Caenorhabditis elegans: one gene and its partners. The protein of the gene in region 3 purifies or fractionates together with the protein of the main gene of each other region. This does not show direct contact. Each region holds a gene or a part of one and is shown on either strand. Other genes may lie near its edges. The genes, in order: rnr-1, exc-4 and cest-4.

Region 1 (3,757 bases), on a different chromosome or scaffold from region 3:
ACTTGCCCACCTGAACTTCCATCAACTCCAATACCGAACCAAATCTTGACCCAAAAAGAAAATGTTCCGATTGTCCCACGTAATCTTCTTCTTTCGAAACCACCTCCACCTCCACCACCACCACTTCCGTCATTGATGCAGCCGAAGGATACTGTACAAATTCCGATGAGAAAACCTCCAACTGGCAGAAATTCCAAAAAAATTAAAACGTCTGCAGATTCGATTAGTCTTCCAAGGAACTTTACGTGAGATTTGGATATCTTTTATCTATTAATTACTTACAAAAGTTTATTTTCAGACATATTGCACATGTTGGTTGGAATGGTGCATCGGTACTTTTTGATAAGAAAATGACTGATGATCCGACTGTGAGGAAAATCTGTGATGCTGCTGCAGAGGCAGTTGATCTTAGTGTGAGTAACTTTCTTGAAAATTAGTAGAATATCTATAGAATTATAAAATTAAAATTCATTTATCTATTTTCAGGCGGTATACAATGTTGTCAACAAAAATGCGGATGAGGAGAGCCATAGCGTGGAAGTGCTCATAACTGGAGGATTAATGCAGTCAAGAGATGGAACATCTCGTCACTAACCATTTGAATATATCTGTGTCAAAATAAATTATTTATGTCATGTCTTGCATGCCAACAGATACGCGTTTTTCGAATTTTCGAAAATTCGCAATCACAGCTGGTGGTTTTTTATTGTCTGAATTGACCGACAGCAAATTTTAGTGATCTCTGACAAAACATCAGAAAATAAAAAACTACGCTTTTTTGTCCGCAGTTTGAAAATTTAAGGAAAAACTGAATATAAATATTATTTCATCGAAACATGTTTTTTTCTTTAAAAAATTACCGTACTCTTTCAAAGGCGCACGCATAAAGTTTTTAAATACAATATTTCGTGTCGAGACCATTACAGTAACCCGCGGCAAAATTGTGTTTTACAGCTTTTATTTTCGGGGTTTCTTCTGATCTTATGCATTTTTATGTGGTTTTATTTTGAATTTTACGTTTTTTTTTAAATTTCAGAGCAATGAAATGCGATTATCGGACTTGTCCTAAAGGGCGGAGCCATGGTTAGAGGCGGTGCTTGTGGTGCCGAAGGGTATAAATAGATTTTTTCCTCACACAGAAAACTAAACACATTTTTTGTTTAAATGAAATTCTTCAGCTGTGAATTAATATTTCATTTCAAACTGCCGTAGTTAGAAATGCTCAGGACCGTGGATTTTCGGTTTGAATTTCTAGGCCAATTTTGTGTGTTTCGACATTAGCTCACTTCTATCAGAAAACCATATTGAAGCCAGAATTCGTAGGAAAATATAATGTATTCTGTTTCACTGTAATACTTGTTTTTTCTATGAGACCAAGATTTCAATAATTCGTTTTCCTTTTGAATTTGAATTCCGATGGAGCGCGTTTGTTTGGTCTGCGTCTCGTTTTCGCGCGTTCCTCTATTACCTAGGCGCGAAAACTAGTAAATTTGAGATGAACTGGTCATTTGAAAATTCTCTCCGCTCCTCCATTTTCACTCTTTTCTTCTCAAATTGTTAATAATTCATCTTTTCCAGTTATGCAACGTTACAACAGCACTTATGTTGTCAAGCGGGATGGGCGAAAGGAAGATGTACACTTCGACAAGATCACTTCCAGAATTCAGAAGCTGAGCTATGGATTGAACATGGATTTTGTCGATCCGGTTTGTTATTAAACACAAGTTCAATGATGAATTAAATTTTCCAGGTCGCTGTTGCAATCAAAGTTATCAGTGGCTTGTACAAAGGAGTGACAACTGTTGAGTTGGATAATCTTGCTGCAGAGACTGCTGCTTCCATGACCACACAACATCCGGAATATGCTCTTCTTGCCGCTCGAATCGCCGTTTCGAACTTGCACAAGAAAACGAATAAGGTGTTCTCGGAAGTTATGAAAACCCTTCACGAGTTCCATCATCCTCATACCGGAAAACACGCACCAATGATCAGTGATGAGACTTGGGCTATCATTGAGAAGAATGCTGATGTTAGTTTTCCTAGGAATTGCATTTATTCAAAAAAATTTCATTTCAGAAGCTGAATTCCGCCATCGTCTACGATCGTGACTATTCCTACACCTATTTCGGATTCAAAACACTGGAGCGTTCCTACCTTCTCAAGATAAACAAGGAGATTGTCGAGCGCCCACAGCAGATGTTGATGCGTGTTTCTATTGGAATCCATGGAGATGATATTACTTCCGCAATCGAGACCTATAATCTGATGTCGGAGCGTTACATGACCCATGCGTCCCCAACTCTCTTCAATTCGGGAACATGCCGTCCTCAGATGTCTTCATGCTTCCTTCTGACAATGAGTGAAGACTCCATTCTCGGAATCTACGATACATTGAAGCAGTGTGCTCTTATTTCAAAAAGTGCCGGAGGAATCGGACTCAATGTTCACAAAATTCGCGCCACTGGATCTGTGATCGCTGGAACTAATGGAACATCTAACGGACTCATACCAATGCTTCGTGTCTACAATAATACTGCTCGTTATGTTGATCAAGGAGGAAACAAACGCCCAGGAGCATTTGCTATTTACCTGGAGCCATGGCACGCCGATATCTTCGAGTTTGTATCTCTCCGCAAGAACACTGGACCGGAAGAGGAACGTGCCAGAGACCTGTTCCTTGCTCTTTGGATTCCAGATCTCTTTATGAAGCGAGTCGAGAAGGATCAAGAATGGTCGTTGATGTGCCCATGTGAATGTCCAGGACTTGATGATTGCTGGGGAGAGGAGTTCGAAGCTCTTTACGCCAAGTAAGTATCTCCTGGTTCTTATTTTTTTAATTACCGAAGTGCGATATCCAGACAGAACTTTAAGAGTACTGCTTGGACTGAGTTTACTAACTTCGAATATGAAATAGTTGATCGATAACCGGAATATACTCAAAAAAAAAGGTGTGCTCCGGACAAAAATCAACTAACAAAAACTTTTAAACAGTGAAGTTAAATTTGCAAAGTTCATATCAAAATTTCCAGATACGAAGCCGAGGGACGAGTCCGCAAAACGGTGAAGGCCCGCAAGCTCTGGGAGCACATCGTTTCCAACCAAATCGAGACCGGGCTTCCATACATCACCTACAAAGATGCCGCCAATCGCAAGTCTAACCAGCAAAATCTTGGAACTATCAAGTGTTCCAACTTGTGCACTGAAATCATAGAGTACTCTGCTCCAGATGAGATTGCAGTTTGCAACCTTGCTTCCATTGCTCTCAATCGCTACGTGACCCCCGAGAAAAAGTTCGACTTCGTCAAACTGGCTGAGGTGACTAAAGTTATAACCAGAAATTTGAATAAGATTATTGACGTCAACTACTATCCAGTCGAGGAGGCTCGCAACTCTAATATGCGCCATCGCCCAATCGGGCTTGGTGTCCAAGGACTCGCTGATTGCTTCATGTTGATGCGTTACCCATTCACTTCGGCAGAAGCCAGAGATCTCAACAAACGAATCTTCGAAACCATCTACTACGCTGCATTGGAAGCCAGTTGTGAATTGGCTGAGTTGAATGGACCATACTCGACATACGAAGGATCTCCAGTATCGAAAGGACAGCTTCAATTTGATATGTGGGGAGTCACTCCAACCGATCAATGCGATTGGGCCACTCTTCGCAAGAAAATTGCAAAGTAAGATTAAAATACTCTTTCGAATCTGATTAAACTACTTATTTACAGGCATGGTATCCGCAACAGTCTTCTGATGG
Region 2 (3,757 bases), on a different chromosome or scaffold from region 3:
ACCGACGTCTCCACAATTTTTATGATTGTATGTATGTATGTATTATATGTTAGTGTCTAGTGTAGATGTATTTGTATCTTTCTCTTCTTCTTCTTCTACTTCTACACACTGCGGGATTTCCAAATTGGACATTTATTTGGGGGACGGTTTTCTCTGGGGTCTCTACACTCTCTGTTCGATCCGTTCGGGGGGTGTCTCGTCAATTAACAAGTTGCGAGACCATGTACCTGCTGACTTTCTGGACGATTTCATAATTTTTTTTCGATTTTTTTGGCATTTTTTATCAGAAAAATGTGTACTTAAGCCGTAAATCGACATAATTTTTAAAAGAGCCATTTTGGCATGTTGTTTCATTAAAATCTAATCACGAAATATAGAAATCGCAGAATCTAACCGAAAAACTTAATTTTACTTTAAAAAATTTTGCGAAGCAATTTAAATCTTTTACACGTGGTGTCAGACTGTCTCATTGCGGTTTGATCTATGAAAAATGCGGGAATATTTTTCCAGAAAATTGTGACGTCAGCACGCACTTAACCATGCGAAATCAGATTAGATGTCTGCGTCTCTTCTCCCGCATTTTTCGAAGATCAAAGCAAAATGAGACTTTCTGTGACTCCACGTGATTCTAATATTCTTTACCAAAAATATTTGTCACGGAATATAGAAAATGAGGTTTTCTAATTCAATATAGCTTTAATTCCAATTGAAAGGCTTTAGGAGGACATCTTGTCTGAAAATCGGGAGATTTCCCGCAATTTGCAACTTTCAGCTAGTTTTTTGCACACTTTAGAACTAAAATACCTCGTACCTTGTATTTTAGTTCAAAGTGTTCAAATCTCGTCTAAAAGTTGCGAATTACTGAAAAACCCCCCATTCCATTGCAATTACAATTACAATTTTTGTTACTAAAACCTTAAACCTGAAATTAAAATATATTTTTAGTAAGAAATATTGAAAGTAAATTCCACAATGGCTCATTTTTTATTACGGGAACAAGAAATTCTGAGAATGCGTACATCGCAACATATTTGACGCGCAAAATATCTCGTAGCGAAAACTACAGTAATTCTTAAAATGACTACTGTAGCGCTTGTGTCGATTTACGGAAATCGTTTATTAATTGATAGCGTATTAAAAGCACACTTTAAAAATAACACAGTAAAAAAAGCTACAGAAAATTGAATATCATTGTCTCGAAAGTCAGTCCCGTAAATCCACACACACAGAGCTACAGTAGTCATTTGAAGGGTTACTGTAGGTTTCGCTACGAGATATTTTGCGCGTCAAATATGTTGCGATGTACGCATTCTCAGAATTTTCTGTTCTCGTAATAGAATTTCCCCTGGAAACTAAAGTTTTCAAGCTATCTCGAACTTGCTTTGTATAATATTTTCTAGTAACAAAACAAAAAATTTCTTCAATTTCATTGAGAAATTCCCAGAAACAAATTTCCAGAAACATGCTAAAATCTGATGCTGAAATCCAAAAAAAGGTGTGGAAAACTCCCAAAACTAGCTATTAAATCTAAATTTTGAACATTCATTGGAAAATTAACAAATATTCGTAAAAAACGGATGTTGTTACCTAAAATTTCCAGTATTTACACCAATTGTCGTAAATATTTTCTCACTAAATTTAAAAATTCTCCATTTATTCGATATATATATATATCATTTACTATATATAAAGCGCTTATTCTGTGTGTCCATAGTTTGTAGTCTATGTGGTCTTTGTAGTCTGTGAAGTTTTGGCTTCTGGAGGGATAGTGAGTTAGGGTTAGTGTAGGGATATAGTCGGGGTACTGTAGTGGTACAATAGTGGTACGGTAGGAATACTGTAGGGTTACGGTAGTTTCATAAAAAATTAATTTTCAGCCCCAGAAGTCGGGGGCCGCGCCGAAGGTGCGGTCCACGGCTGGTATATATATATATATATACCAGCCGTGGTATATATATATATATATATTTAAAATATACACTAATTTTCTTCTGTTTCTTCCGGATTTATTGTGTTATCTCACCAAATTTTCCTCTCCAACAACCACCGCTAATTCCAGATATGGCAGAAGCTTACCAGATCCAATCAAACGGAGATCCCCAATCAAAACCTCTTCTCGAGCTCTACGTAAAAGCGTCAGGAATTGATGCTCGCCGCATTGGAGCCGATCTTTTCTGTCAGGAATTCTGGATGGAGTTGTATGCTCTTTATGAGATTGGAGTTGCACGAGTCGAAGTGAAGACTGTCAACGTGAATTCTGAAGCATTTAAGAAGAACTTTCTCGGAGCACAACCACCGATTATGATTGAAGAGGAAAAAGAGCTGACATACACTGATAATCGAGAGATTGAAGGACGGATCTTTCATTTGGCAAAGGAATTCAATGTTCCACTCTTTGAAAAGGATCCATCCGCTGAGAAGAGAATAGAGAACTTGTACAGGGTGAGTGTATGGAAGAAGAAGAAGCCCGGAAACTGTCGATTTACGCGGATCGTGTACTCCTCGTGGAAAAGATTCTGTAGTTTTCAGGGTTGTGGGGCACTTTTTTTTCACTTTTTCGTCAAAAAAATGAATTTTTAGTCTAAAATTGATATAGAAATATAGAAAACGGGTTGTTCTATTTGAAAATAACATTTACTTTTGTTGAAAATCTTGAAAAAGACCTCAAATAGTGCCTGAAAGTTGCCGTTTGCCGGAAAAGTGCCGTTAAAAGTTTTTAGATTAAAAAAACTGGGTTCTTTCAAAATGAAAATCCCTTTAATCACATACACATGAAAATAACATTAATTTTTGTTCCGTTTGCCGGAAAAAGTGCCGATTAAAGGTGATTTTCATTTTGAAACAACCCAGTTTTTTTAATCTAAAAACTTTTAACGGCACTTTTCCGGCAAACGGCAACTTTCAGGCACTATTTGAGGTCTTTTTCAAGATTTTCAACAAAAGTAAATGTTATTTTCAAATAGAACAACCCGTTTTCTATATTTCTATATCAATTTTAGATTAAGAACGAATTTTATTTTCCACGAGGAGTACACGATCCGCGTAAATCGAACGCCTAATGTGTTGATTTACGCGGATCGTGTATTCCTCGTGGAAAAGATTATCCAGTTTTCAGGGCTGTGCGGCACTTTTTCGGCAAAAAAATAAATTTTTAATCTAAAATTGATATAGAAATGTAGAAAACGGGTTGTTCTATTTGAAAATAACATTTATCTTTGTTGAAAATCTTGAAAAGCCGAAAAAGTGCCGTTAAAAGGTTTTGATGACTTTTTCAAGATTTTCAACAAAAATATATGTTATTTTCAACTAGAACAACCCATTTTCTACATTTCTATAAAAATTTAAATCAAAAAATGGATTTTTTGCGAAAAAATGCCTTGTACTCCACGAGGAGAACATTTTGCAGTTTTTGCTGATTTATAGTGTTTTCAGTGAAACAAAAATACATCATTTCCCCGGGAAAATTGAAAATTTTTGTTAGAAAAAGCGAAAAATACAAGTTTTTAACGAAAACTCTGAAAATTTCCGCGAAAAATATTTAATTCATCAATTTTCAACAGGGTTTCCCCACGAAAATCGTCAATTTTCGTAAAATTCTCGATTTTCTTTTGAAAATACCGAATTTTTACCGAAAAATAATCACTTTTCCGCCAAAAACTGCATTTTTTCAGAAATTTCTGGTTTTCTCACTGAAATGCAACATTTTGTCATTAAGTTATCGATTTTCTGATTAAAAATACCAAATTTCATAGAAAAT
Region 3 (3,757 bases):
AATTAATATTTATTATGCTAAGTATTTGATTTTTGTTTGAAACAGTAAAAAATTGAAAATTCTTGAAATATTGGCTCGGTGAAAAATGTTTCGCTGGGTAGAGTGTTTGGTTTTTACTAAAAAATTAAACCCCTTAAGACAAATTAAGACTATAATATTGGTTCTTAAAAGGTAAAAAAAGAGAAACCACAAATGAATCTTAATCAATCAATGTCAATATAACGGAAGAGAAAACAACATTTTCGTGTCATCAGCATGCTGGTGACAACACATGATTCTTCTTTTTTGATTGCTGTGAAATTGATAGATTCATTAAAATGAAGAGATTTAGAGATATGAGTAAGATGAGTCACCAATTCCTGAAAAAAAATCTGTGGAAACTGAGAGAAAATCGACAAGTATTTCCAATATTAGATACGTTTGAAAATTTAATTTAATTTTCATCGCATCCTTCGTCGGTTTTACATGTTGAATTTTTGAGTTTTTGTGGGAAACATTTGTTGAAAATAGAATGGATTTATGAGAGGTTTAGAGTGAAAGAGAAAGAGAAACTGAAAGAAAGGGAAAGATGACACTGGGACATCGGAAATCAGAGAAATTGAATCAAATCAATGATTTGAAAAGAATTTATGTTACAGCCGTGTTCCAAGTTCAACATTTCGTTAAAAAAATGTGACAACAGCTTTTAAAAAAATCAACTGCTTCACATCAGTATAAAAATGCAATTTCACATGTACTGCGAAAAAAAATAAATTTAGTTCCAGAAGCAATATATTTTATGATTCTACTCGAAATGGCTCAAAAAACTAATTATTTAAAAATTTTGAAAAAAACAGGCAGATGTTTTATTTATAGGGTTATTCAAGTAGTGTCGGAAAATTAAAAAGTGCAGAAAAATTACGTCACAACTGTATTCAAGTATATAAAAACATGTATTAAATACATTTGTGACGTCACAAATATATTTAAATACATTTTGCTACATTACTTGAATAACCCCATTACTGTCAAAAAGTGGCAATAACTGAGTTTTTGATACACATAATTCTGGAAGTCGACCAAAAATTTATTTTTTCTACGATTTTTTAAATTAATTAATTTTGTTTTGATAATTGATTTTAACACATTCTAGAGGTCGGAACATTCGAGATTGTTCCTTCCAAAATTTTGGCAAATTTCCAAAACTTTGCCTGGATATTTTGAAAAATAAAACTAAAAATGTTCGAAATGTTTTAATATGATATTCTGTCATTTCGGATATTTTAAGTGTATTTAGACAAAATCTACACTGGCTCTACTTAACCTTTAATGAACTAACAAATGGTCGAGAGTTTTCAAAACTCTCAGTTGAAGTTTTGACATTTGGCCAAATGTTCAAAAAAAAATTTTGAGAAAATTATAGTATTTTTTTATGTTTAAACTACTACAGTATCTAATACAAATTTCGTATTTCTTTTAAAAGTTTTGCAGTCAAGATTAATTTTCAATTGGTCCGTAAGGGTTCAAGACTAATAGAAGAAGTACTATAATTAAAACATAATTAGAATTAAAATTCATAAAATTGTTTTTTGATAAACCAACTGTAAATACAAAAGTTCAAAAAATATTTTTTTAATGTGTTTGTTTGGTCATTTGAGCACAGCATATATTAAAGGATGATAATCAAATAAAAATTAAGTTCCAACTGCTGCGACACCGAGAAATTGTCAAAATTTGAGATTTTAGCTACAAATGGGCCATTTTTTCCAAAACTTTGAGCCGCCATTACTTTTTTTTGAAAAATTTTCAGAACGTCTCATTACGAAATTTGGTAGTTTTGGATCATTTTGGGTCTAAAAAAGTAAATTCTCACATTTCGGTATCCACCTTTAAACATATCCAGACTGACACTACTACAGATTTTAACTGAAGGTATTTTCCTGAAACAGTAATTTTTCAGCATAAGTCACAATGAAAATTCACTTAAAATTGTAGATTGTGCTCAGACAGTGTTTATCAGTCTGTGTCTCACATGTGTCATTCTTCATGTTTGACTACAAACACATTATCAGTTTTCAAAAAAAAGAAATTTTGTTGTCAAACTAATTTTAGTGTTTGACATTGATTGATTCAGGAATGCTTTTACTTCCTGGTCTTATGAATAATTTGTTACTGTTTCTGTCATTTTTCTTATTATTCTCAATTACAAAATCTGCAATTGTTTCTACATCGTTGGGGCAAATTGATGGTGATCAAATTGGAAGTTTCCATTTATTTAAACATATTCCATTAGCAAAGCCACCAATTGGAAAATTAAGATTTCAAAAACCAGAACCGCCTGAGAAATGGACCGGAGTGAGAAATGCAAAAGGTATGGTTGAAAACTCTGAAATTAAATTAGATTAATTACTCTGAAAAACATGAAAAATTTACGTTTGTTTGTTAAATAAAAAATTTTCTGAAATTCAACGAAATTTTCTAAACACAATGAAATAGGAACTGCAGTTATAAAATCTGCAAAAAATATAGTAGATGGTCAAGATTTTCTCTTTCACTGCTAGAAATTTTTCGACTGTTTCAACGTGTCTAGAAAATCTAAACTAAATTTTCACTAATAATTTATAGTCTCTTATGATATCCTAAAATATTTCAATATTTCAACATGTTCATAAGTCTATACAAAAACTTCAGAAATAGTTAAACTTGATAAAACTTGCATCAGCGCCTTTGTCAATAAACTCAAATGTTGAAAACATTTAATTTAATAAATTTAAATTATATTTTATACTTTCGTTAATATATGTTTATACCAATAAACTTCAAATTTTTCAAAAATAGTTTCATAGCTGATCACAGTGTCTAAAATTGTTATAAATGTCCCAACGTATCAGACGCGTTGTTGTAGTGTGTTGCGTGCAAAACTGATCATCGAGTAGTCTACGAGTATTACAGATGTAGTTTAGACACAATTACCTTTGTTATAGAAGTATTGATATTTTTAATCATGCAAGTAATTGTCACGGAAAATGAATCCTTCAAATTTTTCAATTCAAATTTATTCCATTTTCAGCGTACGGACCAGCATGTATATCAAATTCATCTGTATCAACAAGCCCACAGAAATGGATTGATGAAGATTGTCTTCACATAAATATCTTCACTTCTGATAAATGTTTGGTAAGCTTTTGTTCCTCATAATATATCCAGACATAATAATGTTCCAGAAATCAAAAGACTGTGCAGTTGTTACATATTTTCATGGAGGAGGTCTCATGTATGACTCGGCTGTAATGTTTAATGATACGTATTTGCTTGGGACTTTTGTTAACCAAGGTATAGTGACTGTGAAACTGTTTTAAAATTAAAGTTTATTGGCAAATATGTTAAAGAAAATTTTATCACTGAGTCTAATTTTTCACTGTTTCAACATTTCCATAAAATCTTGAAGAAAATCAATCATCTTGATTTTACATTTTACATTTTTCAGATGTAATAATTGCGATTCCTGCTTTCCGTCTTGGCATTTTTTCTCATTTCGTTGTTGAAGATCAAAGTATTGCTCCCACAAACTTGGCACTTTATGGTATAAATATATTTGCAATTAAAATTGAATTGAGGCTACTAAACTAATTTCAGACATTCTACTCGGCGTCGAGTTTGTGAAGAATGAAATTCACAATTTTGGAGGAAATAACCAGAAAAATACAATTATGGGTCATTCCTACGGAGGTTCAATAGTCAATATTCTAACATTCAGTTCGAAGATTAACCATGATTT

What was found.
Region 1: the proteins of cest-4 (region 3) and rnr-1 fractionate together in Caenorhabditis elegans (co-fractionation; one large-scale study listed by BioGRID). This does not show direct contact.
Region 2: the proteins of cest-4 (region 3) and exc-4 fractionate together in Caenorhabditis elegans (co-fractionation; one large-scale study listed by BioGRID). This does not show direct contact.

Annotation. Positions count from the first base shown.
Region 1 is NC_003281.10:9,226,072-9,229,828, reverse strand, and holds the start of rnr-1 (Ribonucleoside-diphosphate reductase large subunit), read left to right. Parts: upstream 1-1,578; 5' UTR 1,579-1,580; coding exon 1,581-1,706; intron 1,707-1,750; coding exon 1,751-2,029; intron 2,030-2,076; coding exon 2,077-2,807; intron 2,808-2,854; exon of another isoform or gene 2,855-2,979; intron 2,980-3,029; coding exon 3,030-3,680; intron 3,681-3,728; coding exon 3,729-3,757. Other genes in the region: T23G5.3 (uncharacterized protein), read left to right, coding at 1-245, 299-413, 487-594. UniProt on the Caenorhabditis elegans protein: Provides the precursors necessary for DNA synthesis. Catalyzes the biosynthesis of deoxyribonucleotides from the corresponding ribonucleotides.
Region 2 is NC_003279.8:14,517,020-14,520,776, reverse strand, and holds the start of exc-4 (Chloride intracellular channel exc-4), read left to right. Parts: upstream 1-2,057; 5' UTR 2,058-2,061; coding exon 2,062-2,442; intron 2,443-3,757. UniProt on the Caenorhabditis elegans protein: May insert into membranes and form chloride ion channels. Involved in the formation of the excretory canal. Required to prevent cystic lumenal expansions in the excretory cell.
Region 3 is NC_003282.8:6,800,618-6,804,374, reverse strand, and holds the start of cest-4 (Carboxylesterase type B domain-containing protein), read left to right. Parts: upstream 1-2,037; 5' UTR 2,038-2,115; coding exon 2,116-2,350; intron 2,351-2,594; exon of another isoform or gene 2,595-2,618; intron 2,619-2,676; exon of another isoform or gene 2,677-2,697; intron 2,698-3,049; coding exon 3,050-3,156; intron 3,157-3,203; coding exon 3,204-3,312; intron 3,313-3,466; coding exon 3,467-3,562; intron 3,563-3,615; coding exon 3,616-3,757.